Drosophila melanogaster: one gene and its partners. The protein of the gene in region 3 interacts with the protein of the main gene of each other region in a pairwise test. Each region holds a gene or a part of one and is shown on either strand. Other genes may lie near its edges.

What was found.
Region 1: the proteins of exex (region 3) and lms interact in a two-hybrid assay, tested with the Drosophila melanogaster proteins (one large-scale study listed by BioGRID).
Region 2: the proteins of exex (region 3) and CG31955 interact in a two-hybrid assay, tested with the Drosophila melanogaster proteins (one large-scale study listed by BioGRID).

What each region holds. Positions count from the first base shown.
Region 1 is NT_033778.4:20,553,905-20,560,984, forward strand, and holds lms (lateral muscles scarcer), read left to right. Parts: upstream 1-2,972; 5' UTR 2,973-3,053; coding exon 3,054-3,291; intron 3,292-4,182; coding exon 4,183-4,331; intron 4,332-4,487; coding exon 4,488-5,237; 3' UTR 5,238-6,049; downstream 6,050-7,080. Other genes in the region: Mgat1 (mannosyl (alpha-1,3-)-glycoprotein beta-1,2-N-acetylglucosaminyltransferase), read right to left, coding at 6,136-6,249, 6,303-6,390, 6,449-6,531, 6,589-6,679, 6,745-6,849, 6,910-7,080.
Region 2 is NT_033779.5:3,711,381-3,716,261, forward strand, and holds CG31955 (uncharacterized protein), read right to left. Parts: upstream 1,487-4,881; 5' UTR 1,403-1,486; coding exon 1,118-1,402; intron 1,066-1,117; coding exon 889-1,065; 3' UTR 846-888; exon of another isoform or gene 774-845; intron 689-773; 3' UTR 501-688; downstream 1-500. Other genes in the region: cutlet, read right to left, coding at 1-238; CG2818 (uncharacterized protein), read left to right, coding at 2,713-3,111, 3,267-4,724, 4,777-4,881.
Region 3 is NT_037436.4:7,945,929-7,953,144, reverse strand, and holds exex (extra-extra), read right to left. Parts: upstream 4,960-7,216; 5' UTR 4,780-4,959; coding exon 3,860-4,779; intron 2,995-3,859; coding exon 2,724-2,994; intron 2,589-2,723; coding exon 2,202-2,588; 3' UTR 1,582-2,201; downstream 1-1,581. Other genes in the region: CG43880 (uncharacterized protein), read left to right, coding at 6,861-7,098, 7,153-7,216.

The DNA of each region.
Region 1 (7,080 bases), on a different chromosome or scaffold from region 3:
AAAATATACAAATAAAAAACAGGCAGGGAAATCCGAGAAGAGCCAACGGAATCTGTTTGATTGTGTCGTAAAAAAAGCGAAACACTCCTATATGATTTAAACTGCATGTTTTGTAAAAATCTAATTTGATAATTGGTTGTAATTTATGAGTCTTGTCTGCTCGCCTGCAACATAAACACCACACGGAATGACGGAATGACGCCTTTTACTCCTCGAGCTCCTCCCCAAGCATGTTTCCCAGAAAAGTGCACCAAGAATTGGAAACTGGGAGCCCACTTCCCATCCACGGACTCCGAATTCGAAACGAGCGCACATTAAATTAATAATATGCAGTTCATTCTCTCCCGTTTTTTTTTTTTTTTTCTTAATTATTATTTATATCTGTCAGTTTATAAGGCGTAGGCTGGTTTTTTGGTTTGCCGGAGGCAGTTTTATGAATGAAATTAACAGCATAAGATGGGTGGAGATCCCAAAATTCATCACCGATATTTATGGCGGTCTTTTGGCAGGATAATGCAATCTGCATTTAATTTCCGCATTAACGAATACGTTCAAAAATATAGAAAAATTTAAGTAGTTTTCATTTAATAATACAAGCTGCTTAACAGGCAATATGTATAAAAAATTATACATATTTATACCACCTGATTGAATGCCTTCTTAATACTTTCTCTCTGCGGTCTGTTCTACATAGTTTCTAAGTACCTAATCATGGTATCATATTTCCATAACCAGCTCTAATAGGTCTTCACACAAATTAGCCTCGAGGCAAACAAATAGACAGCCCAACGAATCAATCAGGATACAGTTTCCCAAGGAGTTCAATGCTCGCCCGCAAAAGGAGTTCCAACATCACCTTCGGCGTAATCGGAAACCACACGAATATCCGAGAGTCAATGGCGTGGGAGTGTCACCGATGCCCGTTCCAGATACAGATTCAGATACAGATACAGATGTTAGTCCGGAGCAGCCCAATGATCGATGTGGCAGCGAGGCAGCAGTTAGATGTAGCTAACACCCTGCAGGACTTGATGCATCATTAGCTGGATGCGATGACAAAAAGAGGGCACAAAAAACATTGAAATTCTGGCCGGAGGACGGACTGTTCCACGCGACTGCCAGTGCAACTCCGGACGTGATTTATGCTGCGTGCGCCTGACAAACACTCGAGAAGTGATGATTTATAATGAAGATGCATGCTCGGTTATTAATTAAATTCTGACGCGACTGCGCTCCATTTAGTCTTAAATGCGAGAACCAAACAAACTGATCTTTAGTTAGCCTAAGGTTATGGTTGTCGTCTTACGCAATAAGGGCCAAAAGATCCTTAATTGATTCGAAATTCCAGAGGCAAATTCCAGTGCAAAGTGGTAAGAGGTATGCAAAATATGTTATGCTGAGAATCTTATAATAATACTTAAACATATCTGCAAGTTCATTTCCTTCCTCAGATTTCTCTGATCCAGTTAGGAAACTTAATATATTGACTTAGCCAAAACAAGATAGAATAGAATACTTATGTTCAGATGTTCGGCTTGAATGTGATTCCATAGATACCCATGGATAGATAGGTTATAAAGTAGCCAACAAATTGGTAAATACTCAAAAATGACGAAGTCGAAACAAAGTCTGCATTCTGTTTGGCAGTGGAATTTGAAATATGGCAAGCAATAGTCGAATATTCATTAAGCGCAATTATGAAAATTAAGTTGTCATTTTGATTTGAGTGCCCGCGACACTCGGGCATGCGGCCTCATAAGCAGATCTAGATCCCCCCCGCATCCGCAACCGAATCCGAATCCCCGCCAGAATTCTCATTAAATTAAATCAAACTGACAGCCCGGCCGGCTAAATGGATGCCCTGCGATTCGTCCCCTTTCCCCTTTTTGCTCCGCCATCTCGGCGACTAATTAACGTGTTTTCAGATATTTTGTTCAAATCGCGCCTGAATAATGAAGACGTTATCATGGGGCATCCGCGCATCCAGGAATGGGCACCCTGTAGCCCAGTAGATGTTGTGGATTTGGCTGCTGGCCAATTGGAAACTAGTGTCAGCCAGGCCGCCGGCTAATTTCTCAGATCCTCCCCTCCATTCGGATCCTGAGTGCCCCTTTTCCATTTTCCATTCTGTCTGAATTATGTGTTCATAATTTCGAATTAATGAAATTTTTACAGGGGGCTTGGGATTGGGATTCAAAGAAATAGAAAGTTATAATATGAAATATCTGTAAGGAAGGTGTTCTAAAAACTCAACAATTAAGTTATGATTCAAAAAATGTTGTGCTTCAAAATTACTGTTTCTCAGATTTAAATTGAATATATTATACACATTAAAAATGTTTCTCAAGCTAGTAGAACCCAATTATGCATTGCGTTACAATCACTTAGACTAATGGCCTTGTATTACTTTGTTAAGAGATTTAAAAAATTCCAAAAAATCGACAAAGAAACCATTTGTACATTTGAATACAATTTTTTGAATGCTGCATTGTTTAAAGAATTCTGAATTAACCCAAAAGAGGACACGTGCCTGCACACCAAAGCACTGAAAACAAATCCAGTCAAAGAAATTGCTCGCCGTTCATTAATCAAATGGATGAAATATGTTGGCAAACGTATTAAATATATTTAGCAAAGCCATCGAAATATTAAATAGCGCTACTTGTAGACAATTAGCCAAAAATTATGACTTTTAATCACGGGCAAGGCGACAAAAACAATTTCGAAAACCCAGAAGACGGCGTTGAACGCGAGCCACGCCCCTCATCCCAAACATTTCACACATGTTTTAAAAATAACCGAACTTGTGTGCTGTCTTCAGTGAAAATCGAATAGTATGTTTCTGTTCCTTTCTGTCGTTCTATTTGCGCATATGGTGTGAGCGGTGCGGAGATATATGATTTTAGGCTCCGCCCCGCCAGGCGATCATCTTGAAAAATCGGCCAGTGAGCAGGATGCTCCGCATATTCAAATTAGTTTTCCGTAAGATCTCCACGCGCGCTGTTGTCTCCGGAATATCTTCAAAATATATATCGCTCGCAATCGGCGGAAACATGAATTCGCAATCGGCAGTGCGTCGCTATCCACACAGTTTTTCCATCGAACAAATTCTGGCCAAGCCGGAAATGCGCAGCTCCACTTCCTTTGAGGACTCCGTGCAGGATGAAAGCGGTCGCGGTGGCAATTGTCTCGGTGCTTCACGGGCTTCCAGTCCGGCAACATCGAGTTGCTTGGATGACAACATGGACGACGGCAAAAGTGATATCGATTTGGCCTCAGATGATGGAAACGGTGCGTATGATCGATATGCCGGAATATAAGCTTTACAACGACGAGAATTTTGGTGTCTGGAATTGGATTTGGGATCTAAAAACTTAACTTAAAGCTCAATTGGATCCTTATTAAATAGCAAATATACAAAATATAGATTTATACTGAACTTCATCAGGATAAATAGCACCAACAGCCAAATAGTCAGTGCTTTAGTGCTTTTAAGTGTAGTATTATCAAGGTTCAAGGAATTATCAAGGATCTTTCAAATAATACAGTTACAATATACAAATTTTAAATTCTGAAAAAAAATGTCTCTAAAAGATGATTTACCTCCTAATGGAATCACCCATAACGAGCTCAGCACAGCCGTTCATTATTGTATGTAAATATGCAATGAGTTTCCCACCTGAACGAATGAGTGAGTGCCTATGGCTGAATGATCTCATCTGTCATCCGTGCGATCAAGAAACAAATGATCAGAAATTAGCTTCTGGGTGACAGGGAATAAGCCATCCATTCCATATCCACATTTTCGTCGACACCAACGCAGTCGACTAATGATGCAAATGTCACAAGCGAACAAAGATCGCTGGCGATCTCAAAGGAGATATTCTTCCACCCGTTAAGAAGGAATTTATATGGCTATTTGTTTTCGGTCGGCCAAGAGAATGTATGCCAAAATGGCCAATTAGACGCCTTGGCTAAGTGAAATGCAACAGTGTGATTTGCAATTTGCCAGGGGTTTTGCGGTGCGACGGGGCATTTTACATACACATACAACTGTGCCAACAACGGATCGACAAATTACCATTAGGCGAAAATAGTTGGCACCGCGCGCCGGATTGCCCGCTGTCGGTAGCAATAAATGTCTAATTGGGATTTCGATTTCCCACTTTGATTCCATTGCAGGCCTTGGTGATGACCGCAAAAAGCGACCGCGTACCGCCTTCTCGGCAGCTCAAATCAAAGCACTGGAAACGGAGTTCGAAAGGGGAAAGTATCTTTCGGTGGCGAAGCGAACTGCACTGGCCAAGCAGCTGCAGCTCACAGAAACGCAGGTTAGTTGTGGAATCTATCAAAAAATTTAATTACTACCCAAAAAAGTTTGCCATTCTATCTAAAAGCGATTAATAACATGAAATGAAATCCCTTGTATCTATGAGATACAATTGGCATTCCTCGTAAATAATTCATTCATTCATTTCACTTTTCAGATCAAGATCTGGTTCCAAAACCGCCGCACCAAGTGGAAGCGCAAGTACACCTCGGACGTGGAAACGCTGGCCTCGCACTATTACGCCCAGCTGGGTATCGGGGGATTGGCCAGGCCGATGGTGGTTGGTGATCGCCTTTGGCTCTTTAGCCAAACGCCAACGGGTCCCACGCCCATTCAGTCCATTATGCTAAATGGCAGTGGCTCCGCTGCACCCATGGCCTCAGCAACGACGGCCACCGGCTCACCCATGCGTCCGTACGCGACTAGCGGCGGAATGCCACCGTTGCCGGGTCCCAGTGTGATGGAGAGTGCCCGTAATGCCATACTGGCACGTGGACAACCCTTGAACTTCGCCCTGCCCTTTGGCGTGGCTAAGCCGCCGGCGGGTGGTGTGCCTGCGGCCAGCTACATCCCTCGCTGCAAGCCGTATGCGACCAGCTATGTGGACTACGCGGCGTCACTGCCAACGAACGAGAGCTATCTGCAAATGAAGTACGCGACGCTGCCGCCGGAAGCGGAAAGCGGCGCCTCCAATGGCCTCGCCGAACTGGAACGCGTCTTTGGGGATGCCAATGCCAACTTTCTGCAACAACGCAGCACGCCAGTCGCTGGAACAGCCACAGCCTACGGCCACGATGGATTAAATCAGGCGCAGCGGAGCCGCAGACCCACACAATCGGAGTCCGAGTGCAGCGACATTGACTGCGAGCATCTGGACGAGGATGAGGAGCCACCTGCTGCGGAGTGAAAAGGCGATTGGTTGTCTTTAGAATTTATGTTCCGTACGTCTCTCATACACACAAAAATATGCTCATACAAAGTGTAGTCATAGGGGGTAGTAGAGTAGGTGTCCTGTCTGGGTTGATTCCATTACAACTAGCTGAGAGTGGCACACTTTCAGATCTGGCCGGGATTACTGGCGTACCCCTGGTGGCTCAGCACTGGTCTAGTTTACGTTGTGGTTCTAGTACTAGTACTAGCGCTAGTTATTGCTATTCTATGTTACATTGTGTGGGTCGGGTACTGTTTACTGACTGGCTCTCAACAATTAATAAATGTAAATTAAATAATCAAAAATCACAAATATTACACGTCCGTTGCCGTTAGAACTCTAGTTGGATCAACTTAAATGCTACAAATTACACGCTGCATACTATAACTTAACCATTGCTATAACTATTTGCAATTTAACACGATAAATTGAGAGAGATAGACAGATAGAGAGAGCTGTAACAAAAGCGAACGACACTGACTTATTTACAATTCATTGCGTTGCTTGTGTGGCTGGTGTGCTAGAATGGAACACTTTTGGCTCTTGCCACACACAGTTCGGTTCGGTTGACTACTATACATAGTGGAGACTCATTTGATTTGATTTTGTTACGCCAACAGTAGGTCCGTAGGCTAGGGATCTGGAGCAGACGAATTGCGTTTTCTATCAGAAATCAGGGCTAGTACTCCAAGTACTCCTGCCTACGCGATGGCTGCGAACAGCGTCTACTGTTCGAGGAGATTCCATAGTTACAACTTAGCTAATTGGTCAAATAAAAATTAAAACTCATAGGGCTATTTTTGGTATTGCAAGCACGCGGAGCTAGCTGCGTGGTAATGGAAGTGGAGCTGGCGGTACTCTGTCCTTAGCGTCGTTAGCTCCAAGAGAGCTCGTAGCCCTTCCAGTTGGCGTTGGGTGCCAGATGCACGCGCCGTTTGTTGTAGTAGAAGGAGACGATGCCATGGTAGGCAGTCCGCGGAACACCGCTCTACAAAGATTAAGAATAATCATAGTTTCAAGCACATAGATTGATTGATCTACCTTGAAATCATCCATAAGACCCAGCATCTTAGTTGTCCGCTTGTACTGCTCCCTAGTAGTGTATTGAATGCGAACTGGACCTTCGATTCTGCAACACCATAATTGGAATTATGTAGATACTTTCTATATATCATATATCAACTCACCTAATCAGGTTTCGCCGCAGCTCATCGTACGTAACAATGGGATACGTATAAACGCGCCGCAGAAACGTGTTATCGTAATTGTCCTGAACATGAAATAGTTGTTAGTGTAATGAGGCAACAATGCACGGGTGTGTACCTACCTTCAGCAGGTAGCTCATATTGATTTTTGTAAACTGCACAAAGTCCTCGCTCAGTTTAATGTGCTTCAGATACTTATCGAAGAACAAACCGCTGTTAAACAACAAATTATCATTATTAGCTGGCACGTTGCATTGTTAGCTAGCTATATCTCTTACTTGGAAACGCCTATTTTTCCAAACGTGCGAGTGCGTGATATTTCGGGCCTAATGCACACGCGATCTTTGCGCTGGGCGGGATGACGTATCCAATCATCCCAGAAGCTAGAACAGTTAATGAACCATTAGCGATTGGCTGGCAAACACCATAATTGCCCCACTCACGATTTGGGCCATTTGACCGACAGCTCGGCCCACAGATCTTTGGTGAGCATCCAGCCGAGACCGGGAAAGAAATCGGTGCGGTAGAGCAGCTCCGGCTGCGCGGCGTCCACAACAGCAGCCTTGCCATTGTCATTCCACGCGGACACGCACCACAGGCTGGGGTCCTGCTTG
Region 2 (4,881 bases), on a different chromosome or scaffold from region 3:
GGCTAGCTCCAAAGGTAATCTGCGACAGCTGTGGCGATCCCAGTGTAGAGTTTCCAAGACGGGTGCTATCTCTTAGTGCCGCAACGGGAGCTCTGTTTTCCTTTTGCTTTTCAGCGGCCTGTTTGGATGTGCTCGGTCCATCGTACGCGTTAAACTCGTCCGGCAAGTCCTCCAGCAGCTCTAGTTCGTCTTGGTATTGCAGCTCGAACTCCTCGTTTTCGTCCGGATACTGATCCATACTGGTTTCAAACGAGCGTCCAACAAACAACTTAATAAAATCCTATTATATATAAACAAATTGTTACACTGGTATTTTCGCGCCAAAATGGCAAACATTAACAGCTGTTCGATGGCAGAGTTGCCAACTATCGTTATCAAAGTGATGGCTGTCACAAGCTGATTGATTTAGTAAGCTTAAATTATTTGATTTATTTTATTTATAAATGCATTGAATGTAAATAAAAATACTTATATAACTAGTTTCAATAATTGGTTTTGATATTAAAATTGGTGCAGGCACTTGGTAACTATGGCACATTTTCCAAACAACTGTTTTGTATTGACTTGTTTACCTTTCTCGTTTCTTCTTCTTCCACTTTGTTTACTGATAAAGAAAGTCCGCCAAAATGGAAGTGAATACGAAAATGAGTATTCTTTGCATTCCTTATTTCAAAATCAAAGTCATTATCTATAATCAGTAAGCGAGAGCACATTTCCCGTTCCCTTTTAATTACAGCTAGCAAAATGACAGAAGAAAATGACGATTCATCTGTAGGGCTGTTGCATTCTTTGTTTATATTATATATATATATAAATGCATGTGTTGATTTGAGCATATATTGAACCTCTATAATAGATATATATGTTGAAGGTGGCTTGCATTCGTCACTATGCAAAGCTTTTCACAACTTTGGTGGACGAAATGGACTTATGACACCGCGGACACTTGATGCAGGTTTCCGGATCTAGAAGTCCTTTGATCTTGTGCAGACACGGATGTATCTGCGTTCTCACGTGTTCCTTTGCTGCGATTGGCTCGGCAATATCCAACCGCTGGTGGAGTATCTGAAATAAAGCAAGTAAAATGTCCAGCATGTGTTCTTCGATTCCTACTCACATTGTAGGCCTCCTTCCATAAACTTGATTTGTAGCTCTGTTTTCTGGGCTCACTGTATTCATAAACACGAATGCCATTTTTTACTCGAACAGCATGCGGATACGGCGGAATGCTGCGCGAAAGTTTCCTAGTTATAATTTTGCCTTCAGCAGAAGCGTAAGCTGAATCCAAAATATTTCGTACACTTAATTTGGAATCCGGCATGTGCGAAACGTGTTTTTCGTCGTCGTATAAATATTCGTATGGTAGATCAGAACTATGAAAAACTACCTTGTCCCCCTCCATGGTGTGTTCGATAAAAAAAATTTGAATTGAAGACGTCTTATCACGAAGAGCTTCTGCGCTCGACTGATGTCTACTGAATACTGCAAGCTTCTGGAATGTAGGCAGATCTGAACACTATGACTCATTTTTACTAAGCTGCATTCGCGCGGGAGGGACATTAAATAAAGTCAAAGTTAATTTTATAATCCTAAGCTACCGGTTTTATTAAATTAAATCTGAAAGAATCTCTTGAGCTAGGTAAACAACCAACAAACTTTTTATTAAGTAGTAACTGAAAGTTCAGAAACTTTGCCTAAATTGCTGAGATACTTTTCGAAAACTGTGAGATACTCTGTTGCGGAAGACGGTCACCCTAAAAATCAGCTGTTCGCGTTGCCAACCTGTGAGAATGCGCTCAAATATCAAATATAAAACTTGTATTTTAAGTGCGTGTAAGTAAGTAGTATGTAGTATATATCTAAAAAGGCATCTACTATTTTTAAGTGCTTTAGGCATTTAGCATTGTGAAAATATTTACTTCATCAAAAACCTATCGATATCTTGACATTCAAATACTTTTCACATCCCTCGCTAGAATCGGTCAGTGGATATATAGATAACAAAATAATGCAACTCACAGTTTCAAGGGGATCGGAAGCCCCTGCGGCGCTGAAATCGTTCAGATAATATAAAGTTATATCCACATTATAGAGTTAAGCCCCCCCGCCACGAAAAGAGAAAAACATCATGTGTTGTTAGCTGAAATCCGTGAGCAAAAACCAAAAACAGCTGCTATGATCAAAAAATCGGGCGACTCCTCAATTTGCACACGTTTGTTATAGTTTCGTGTACGCGTAGGAAAATCACAGAAAATCTAGGAAAATCAAAGAGAGAGAAAGTGGAGGAGAGCGAGAAATCGAATCCAAACAAAGCGATTTCGGCTTATTCTTCTATTTCAGCACACAACAACGCAAAGTAAGTGATACAAGTTATTTATTTACGTCATCCACTGATAAGGGAAACCAAAAACAATTGCGGACTGCAAGTGAAATTAATGTTGTGTTAATATCTTCGAATTACTTGCGCTCGATACAATAAACAACTTGTGACCGCAGCTGAAAATAATTGAAGTACAGTGCGTATACGCTAACGAGCACAGTAGTACTCGAAAAAAAGAGAGAGTTGGCATAAATTACTTGTGCGCATGCAATACAATACAATTATACTGAGTTTCAACAATTAGTTTAGTTCTTTGCTGCTAACTACTATTATTCAAAGTGTATATAGCTAAGGATTATATATAGATATTAATTATTATCCATCCCCACAGAATGCACAACTGGCTGGCCTCACATAACGGCGATGAGGATGCGATGGCTGCGCCATCATCCTGTCCTGCGTCCTCGGAAAACGGCAGTCGATTGGAGTCCCGCCGGATCTTTGGCGACATTACCACCAACAGACTGTGGACCTTTCGGGTGCTGATGAACCAGGATCTGGCGCCCAACGAGCAGTTGGCCATAGTGGGTAATTGCGAGGCGCTGGGCAACTGGCAGCACTCGGGAGCGGCTATTTTGTCCAAAAATGAGGAGGACAATGAGTATAGTAATCTGTGGACAGGAGAGATCTATATTCCGCGTCACTGTGACACGGAATATCGCTATATGGTCTGTGCCGTCGATCCCGGCACGGAGCAGCTGATTGTCCGCCGTTGGGAAACGCAATTACAGGTTCACAAATTCATTATGTACTGACCGACCCTATACGAGTAGAGTCCAAAAATCCAGCTGGACCTGGGATCGGATTTGATTTGTATGCACTCGTATGGGATTCATGGTTTGGAGCTAGCCCAATAACATTGCTAAGAGATTCCCTTTCCTTACAGCCCCGAATAGTCAAGGAGTTGGATGAGCAGCCTGCCAAGAATCAGAGTGACATATTTGGCTCGTTCAATGGCCAGGAGAAGGTGGATCGGGGCTGGCTGACCAAGGAGACTCTGGTGCAGCTAAAGTTCTTTTATGCTCCGTTCACGTTTAAGCAGCGCATGAAACGTAGGCATATCCAGGTCAAAGTGACGCCCATGAACCTGAGTATTCCCAGTGCCGGCTGTGATACCATGCTGCCCTCGTCTCCCATGGAGGATTCCTTGTCGAACGACACTCATGATACCAAGGAGAACGGCGGTGAATCCTCCACAGCCTTTGCCTTTAGCGAGGTCGTCACCTTGAGTGCCGACGAGTGCGAAATCAGAAGTCAAGAGCAGTTCGGCACCGGCTGTGGACCCACCGATTTGGTTATATTCCATCTGACCGTTGGAGACTTCGAGAACACGGCCTACCTGATTGATTTGTACAGCTACAGCTCCCGGGTGGCCAAGGAAGATGGTCCACCGAACCACTTGGGCTATCATTATGTGCTGCCCAATCTTTTTAAACGTTCTGAAGGCAACTTGGAGCTGCCCATAACCTGTGCCAAGGGCCATCGACCTCTGGGAATGATGCGTCTTGGTTATCTTATCGTGAAGCCCTCATCGCTGTGTGCTCTAATGGATATGAGTGTCAGCTATGCCCGATACTGGAACAGCAAGTGGACGGGACTGGATGTGGGCCATCGTGGTTCCGGAACTAGTTTCAAGGCCAAGGACGCTGTTATTCGGGAGAATACCATTACTTCTTTGAAGAATGCCGCAGAGCATGGTGCCGACATGGTGGAGTTCGATGTCCAACTTAGCAAGGATCTGGTGCCAGTGGTGTATCACGATTTCATGATCTATGTTTCACTAAAGTCGAAGTGCAGTCTGCAGGAGCACGATTTCCTCGCTCTACCGATGAGGGAGTTGTCCCTGGAGCAGTTGAAGAAATTGAAAGTCTATCACATTGCTGAGGGTCTGTCCAGGGAGACGCGTTCGTTTCACAACGATGATTGTTTAGAGCACCAGCCGTTTCCGCAGCTATGCGATGTCCTGGATGCCCTAGATGTCCATGTGGGTTTCAACATAGAAATTAAGTGGTCTCAGAGGCTAGAGGACGGCAAAATGGAGGAGGAATTCGAGCATGTGGTGGACAGAAATCTCTATATCGATTGCATATTGGATGTCATCCTACGAAAGGCAGGGAATCGCAGGATAGTACTGAGTTGTTTTGATCCAGATATCTGCACTATTCTGAGATTCAAGCAAAATCGATACCCTGTCATGTTCCTAACTCTCGGCAGGACGACGAAATACCAGAAGTATATGGACCCCAGGGGCAACTCCATGGAGCTGGCCGTGTGGCACGCGGTGGCCATGGAGTTCCTGGGTGTTGTGGCACACACGGAGGACCTGCTGCGAGATCCCAGTCAGGTAACATGATCCACTCTCGAATCGTGAATCATTCAGCTACGGACGCTTTTAGGTGAATCTGGCCAAGGAGCGTGGATTGGTGCTGTTTTGTTGGGGCGACGATAACAACTCCAAGGATACCATCAAGCTGTTAAAGGAACTCGGCCTGCACGCCATC
Region 3 (7,216 bases):
TATTTATGATCTCTAAATATTAAGCAGTAAAGTTGTATAGCTGTCGAAAAGCTGCTGAGCGAAGGATAGAAACCAACCCAATTTGGAAATTCTTGTTGAGTAGCTAATATCTGATAGATAAGTTTAAATATGAGTTAAAACTGTATATGCCTTTCATACGATTTACCCACTGTACCACACATATGTACCCTTCTATAGAAATGTGTGCTCCACTCATTTACTCAGCCAAGAATGCGCTACGTGTTTAGTGGCAAGCAGAGGAACGAAATGAATTTTTATTAGCCCGTCAGAAAACAAGAAACTGCTGCATAATAACAACAATAACGGCAACAACAGCAACAGATCAAACAACCAATAATAACAATATAAAGCATACTTCAAGGCAAACCAACAGCGTCGATAAAACCCGTAAAGTCCGTCGTGTGCGAGTCTATGAAATACTTGAGAATTACGTGATAAAGTGGACAGACGAGTTCTCTTCATCAGAATGGAAGTGGGAATGGAAATGGTACTGGGTATGGGAAATGGGAAATGCAATCGAAAGTGGCTAGAACAATACCAAGTGAGTTCGCACTTTATGTCATCTTCAATGAGCAGGATAATGGTATGTATAGTAATAAAGGAACTAAATCATATATTATTTGATTGCTTGATAAAAGATTCAAAAGAAGCTTACATTAAAAATTACGTTGATAAGAACTAAACATATATATATATATATATAATAATTTATATTTTATGTAAATACTTATCAATCACTTCAGTAGCTGATGAACGTTAAACCGAATTCAAGCGGTTATCAAAAACTTGTATTGTATTGTATTCCAACCAATTGTATGGTATTGCCTGATAATAACACTTTATATGACTCTTATTCTGCCGGAAATCGAAGCTCACCATGATTTTTTCAATTTGCCACACTCGCAGGCCAAAAAAAAAAATAAATAAACCAAATCGATATCAACAAGCCAAGAAACTAAGAAGTGCGTTCGTTGTTCGCCTGAAGTTGGCTACATTTTAATTAGCGAAATAATTTTGAAGTGATACTATAAATTTAGTCATAATTATTGTCTCAGCAATTAACTTGATTATCTGCGCACATTTTGATTTATTTGCTGCGATAGGCATTATCGCAAGGGCGAGAAATTGAGTAGAATTTTGATTGGTAGTATACGAATATGTGGCTAATAGCTCTTTCTTTATGGCCGTCGTGTATTTATAAATTCGAGCCACAGACAGCTCTCAAAGCCAGTCAGATTAGATATTTGCTAGAATATATATAAATTATGTTTATTTCTACTTGTTACTTTGGGATATTTTTCAGTGCATTTCGCTTCATACATTTTTCTGGCAATCGTAATCATTGCTTTGCTTTTTATGGCAAAAATTAGTTTATGGTTTTAGTTGTATTATCAAAAATTCTTCAAATTCTCTTGAATTAAGTGGAATAGTTCTCAGCAAGTCAATCGTGTAGATTTCCAGTTAATTTAAGTTTTATTTAAAGTAGTTGTTATAAGTCATATCTTACCTTGCCACATTTGTGTTCCTTAATTTATCCCAATTATTAAAATTTGTAAGCTTATATTTTTAGTTATTTATTTTTTCCAATTTTGATTTCGAAAATAAAATCTAGAAAATTAACTAATTCAATCGCAATGCGTTATTATACACTTTATATTTGTTATTTTTCTTAATGGCTCTTGTTGTTTTCGTTAATATTAAATACTACAATTACATAATTACAATTATTTACACAAATTACACAAGCAAATTGTAAATTACCAACTAAACTAATCGCATTTAATGTAATTTATTTACTTAAGCATTACTCATTTAGTTTAGATTTATGTTTACTTTGTTATTTATGTTCGTGTTCCTATTTAGATTTATGTTTATGTACATAAAGGGGCTAAAAAGAAGGGGGTAATGAATTTAATTTATATTTCTTGTTTACATATACACACACATATATCACACAGTGACCAGTTGTTGTGGCACAAAATAAAAATAATAATGCGAAATCAAAGTGCAAAAAACCCAAAAAAGATTTAGACCGATTGCGCGAATGAAACTGGGGGCAAGAATACAGGGTGTCTCGTTTTAATGGTGGGACGGCGGTTTGATCGCGGCATGACTAGATTGGAGACCACTCCTCCAGATCCAACAGATCCTCCGGCTGCTTCTCCTTACTGCTACAACTCCTAACTGGCGGCACTGGGCGTCTGTTGCTGCTGCTGCTGCTGCTGGTTGGCCTTTGCCCGCTCCTTGGCCTCCTGCTGCGCCTTCTTGGAGCGCTTCCACTTCATCCGACGATTCTGGAACCAGATCTTCACCTGCGTCTCGGACAGCATCAGACCGCTGGCCACCTCGAATCGTTTGGGCCGACTCAGATACTTGTTCTGCTTGAATTGCTTCTCCAGCTCGAGGAGTTGCTGCGATGTAAAGGCCGTTCGTGGTCTCCTGGTCTTGCCCAGAATCGCATGATGCGGATAGGCGGCCAGTTCGGGAATTCGATGGTGCAGCATTCCGGCGCGGGCCAGGAATTCGAATTGCAGCTGCGACGGCATGAAATTATGACCCATGGGTATCTGCATGGATAAATAAGGAAAATACGATGCAAATGATTTGTATGATAGTATTGTATATATTGATCTATTTCGTATTAAAATTTTTATTACAATAGTTACTTTGTAATATTGATATATATTTAATGTTTTACTTACCGGAATGGGTTTCCCTGAGGGATCCAGAGGTCTGTGGAAGGCGGATCCACCTTGGGCCAGCAGCTGGTAGGGATGTCCTCCTGCGTAGAGCGGAAAATCCTGGGGTCTGATGGGACTGTGGGGTGGTATTGGCTTCTTGAACTCGTCGTGGAAGTCGGACATGCGCATGGACAGATGCTGGGGATGCAGTGCACCGTGGGGCTGCTGCTGATCCTCACAACCGGGACTGATGGGCGGACTGGAGCGGTGCGACGAAGTGGGCGACTCTGATCTGCAAAAATAAAAAAAATTGTGGGAAAAAACTTAATGGGGCACCCTTTATTGCGAATTATCTAACCAATCGATTTCGACAATCGAAATTACGCGACACATTTTGAAAACAATTAATATTACCGCCGCCCTCCCTCTAATTTGTTTGCTTCTTTGTACACAATTCGCACTTTAAATTAGCCACTCACACACTTGTGACGGCAGACACATGGCGTATACGTAATCTCTGTGGCTGATGACCAAATTGGAATTGACCAATTGAATACATTTTTCATTGCCATATTTTCGAGTGCCAGCAAAGCTGCTTTGGAGCTTCGCTGGGGCTTCGCTTTGGCTTTCAGAATGGTTTTTACCAAGTGCCACGGTTTTGTTTGGTAGCCAGCCAAGGGATTTCAACAAGAAGTTGAGGGATTTTTGGTAAGAGCTGCATTTTTATACGAATCGTTTTTAAATTCTGGGTATTAGCAAGCAAAGTAATGCATATGAGTAATAATATGAGGCAAGTGTTCGTATTAGGCGAAAAATTGTATTATTTAACCCAAAGCTATTGGTAAGACTTTGTAATAAGTGACTAATTAAATTATCAGGACAGATAGTATAGACAATCAAATGAATAGTTTCATAAACAATTGAAATTTATCATGAGTATAAATTAATTACTAAAACAAATTAAGTAATAGTGATAATAAACAAGTTACCTTTACCTTTTTAAAAACATTTTATAGTGTAACGTTATTAGTAATAAACTTTATCTATTTTTTGATCACTCATAATAAGTTTTTCAGGCCTTATTAATATGCTTTTCTTTTCAAACCCCCTCTGAAATCTTCCTTATAGTTATGCTCATCCCAAATTTCTTTACTCACCTCGACATGCCGTCGGGACTGGGTGAGTCGTACTCCCTGGAGTCCCGGATGCGCTGCAGTGCCTCCTGTTCGCTGATGCCGCCGGCGGCCGAGGCAGCCGCCTGAGCAGCTGCCGCCGCATTGGAGGCGGTCACAAAGGCATGATTGAGTTCCGCCTGATCCCGGGCATAGTGCAGGGCAGCCAGACGATCATCCACAATGATGGGCTGTGGCTCACCCGACTGGTGTTGGCTCTTGGCCAGCAAAGCATCGATGCAGAAGGATTTCTTGGGCTGACTTTGGGCGGGTGGCAGGAGTGTGGTTGTGGCCATGGTGGCTCCACTGTGGCTCAGGTGATTGGCAGCGGGTTGCGGTGAGACGGGCGGTGGTGCAGCCGCTCCCGATGGCACACCTGGTGGATTTGCCGGTAACATAAGGGGCAGTCGTGGCAGAGGATAGGTGCCCAGGGCGGGATGTGGATGTGGCACATGATGCGGTGGCGGGAAACCCTCCACATAGAGACGAGGATGCGGCGGCGGTGGATGTGAATGTGGCGGACCAGTGCCCACGGGCATGGGAGCCACTAGTAGAGGCATCTGTGAACTCTGACCACTCTCCGTTTGGCTGCTATCCTGTGCACCACCGGGACTCAAGGCCGGTGTATAGGTGCTAACTGGTGATCCTGTGGTGGCCGCCGAATGCGTGGGACTGGCTGCCGGCGGACTGGGTGTTATCTGGGATCTGGGCGAGAGTGTTGATTGATTGCTGCCCTGATCGTAGTCCTGGGCAGGTGGCGATGATCGCTGATGACTGCGCTGATGGTGCAGACTGCTGCTGTGGTGCTGAATGTGGCTAAGTAGCAATTGCGACGGCATTGAGGTGCTACTGCTGGCGGTCAGCGGCGGTGGAGGCGGCTGTTGCGACACTTGGGCACTGGACATGCTTCACTCGGTTCACCAAAGTTCAGTTTCTATACTCTTTCGAATATATGTATATATTCTCAAAATTTCCAAACACTTTCCAACACGTTTCGAAATCGACGATTTTACGAACACGCGTGCGAACGCGAGCTGTGATTTCCTGCGAAGCGAACTCGACGAGCGCTCATTAACGACTGTGCGCTGCTGGTAGCCAAACGTGGTATCATATACGCGATACGGAATGCCAGTGTGAAGCAGCAACGGTGGTGCAATCAGTACCGCTCTGCTTCTCTCTCTCGCTCTCTGGAAACCCGCTTTCAAGATGGAGTATCTGGCAGTTAACACGAAAGCGCGACAGAGATAGCCTGATGGCATGGGGCGTGGCTAAGTGGCTGAAAATGTCCATCGAAGGGGCGTGGCTTTGGTGAGAAAGAGTGGCTAGGGACAGAGGGGGGTGAGCTTGGCAGCAGCAAATTTCATATAAATTGTTGGAAAAACGAGGCTATAATTGCCATCATTATGGAGTGTTGAGCAACTAGCAAGTTCAGCAGGCAAAAGACGAAAGAATCTTCATAATCAACTTGAGTGGAGAGTGGAAAGTGGGAGTGCTCGGAGGCTCGAAAGGTCCTTAATGGCTGCCAAAGGGAGTGGTGGTATGGAGGAGGGCCAATAGGTTATAGGAAGTCTGGCAGATGATTAGGCCAGCAATTAAGGCACTCGACGAGCAGCGATCCACGATCCACAAAACGGCCAAAAGGCAGCTTTAAGCCCGGCCAGAAATCAATAATCTCGATAACAATAAACGTCTCGTTTCATGGCGCTTTTATAACTCGGTTGGCAGTTTGGCGCTACCGCCGTAATGCCCCTATAATGCATTTTCTTTACGACCTACGCTCAGCCAGATGAGACGATTTTAATGTTCCCTTGATGGATTACTAAGTGGACATGAATGGTTGGCCAAGTGGCTCAGAGTTAAGAAGATGGCGGGTGGCTATAAATGAATTGAATGCGGTAGCAAAGGACATCAAATTGAATGGAAGTCTATGGAATACATTAACATAGGCGTTATCTTACGATTTTAGATACAATCGATTTTCACCTTGATAACTTGATATTGGGCAGATTAAATAGGCGGATTTCTCCTTACAAGGGATTTCTCTTTACTTTAATCTAATATTAAAGATAAACATATTTAACTAATTCCCAATTTTAAGCTGACAGAAAGACAAAGCAATTGAAAAGGAGCAGACCTTGGAACTCAAATAAATAGAACCCATAATATGTACTACATACATATATAATGCAATGTCCAGACAGGAAAAGAGTTAAGTGAGTCCAGGGAATGGAGCAAACTGTTCGCTAACAAGAAACGTGCCAAAGTATATTTTCCTTGCCCACGTACAAAAATGAAGCCCGACTGACTCACTCCCAATTTTCGGGAAAACCCAAACTCAAGCCGAAAATGTTTTCCCAACAACTAACTCAAAATTAGTGCGATGTCTGCAATGACGACTGATTGCTGTTGTTTCTATCGCCCCCCCGCGTACCCTCCACCAAGTTTCTATCTGGTTCTTATTTTATTTTCATTATACCATATTTATCTACTCATCCACGTGCAGTTAACTAACATTTATGGGTGGTGCACAAGGGGGGGAAACGTGGAACATGACCTGGCAATGGTCCAGCCTCGTTTGTTCTGGCCCCCCGTATGATTTGTGTTATTCCGGAATAGTTTATTTTATATAACAACACAAACATAGAGCGAGTCGAAGGGTAAAGGGATGAGATTGGGGCCTTTGGTTGGTTCGAAAGTGGAGGGATTTTATGTTGAAAGTGTGGGGTTTTGGATTGGTTTTCGGTTTTTAGTTCGCATTTTGTTTATCTGATTCCATTTTGATTTTGGGGAGAAATGGTTACGTAAATATGCAATTAGAGTTAAAATGTTGAAAAGGTAGCGTTATGGGTAAACTTGATTTAAGTTAGCTTAAGTGCTAATTGGAAATATTAGCACTTTGATTCCAAAAATTTAATTTTTAAAATTTTAAAAATGTAATTTTTAAACCCAGCAGTCCTTGAAGAAATACACACATTTGGTATCCGATATGTTTGGGAAACTTTTTTGGATTATAGCCGCTTATATTACCAACGTCCACAGTTTCTATGAAAAAATGCAATGTGCGAATTGTTCGAAGATAAACCGAGATTGCGACGTTACCACAACCGGATGGAGTTGTGAATTCGAGATTGATGCCCTAAAGTTGGATCCTCATGTAAATTCGTCCAAATTACCGCCATTTCTACAGACTTGCCTGCCAGCCGGAATGGGTTTTGTAAAAGAAAGTGAGTAGCTTAGCCATAATACTTTCATATCACTTACTAGTTCCCAATTTATAGGGCCAATACTCGGGTATTGCTGTTTCTGGTCACCGGAAATGGGATGCCAAAAGCTCAAAAGAAA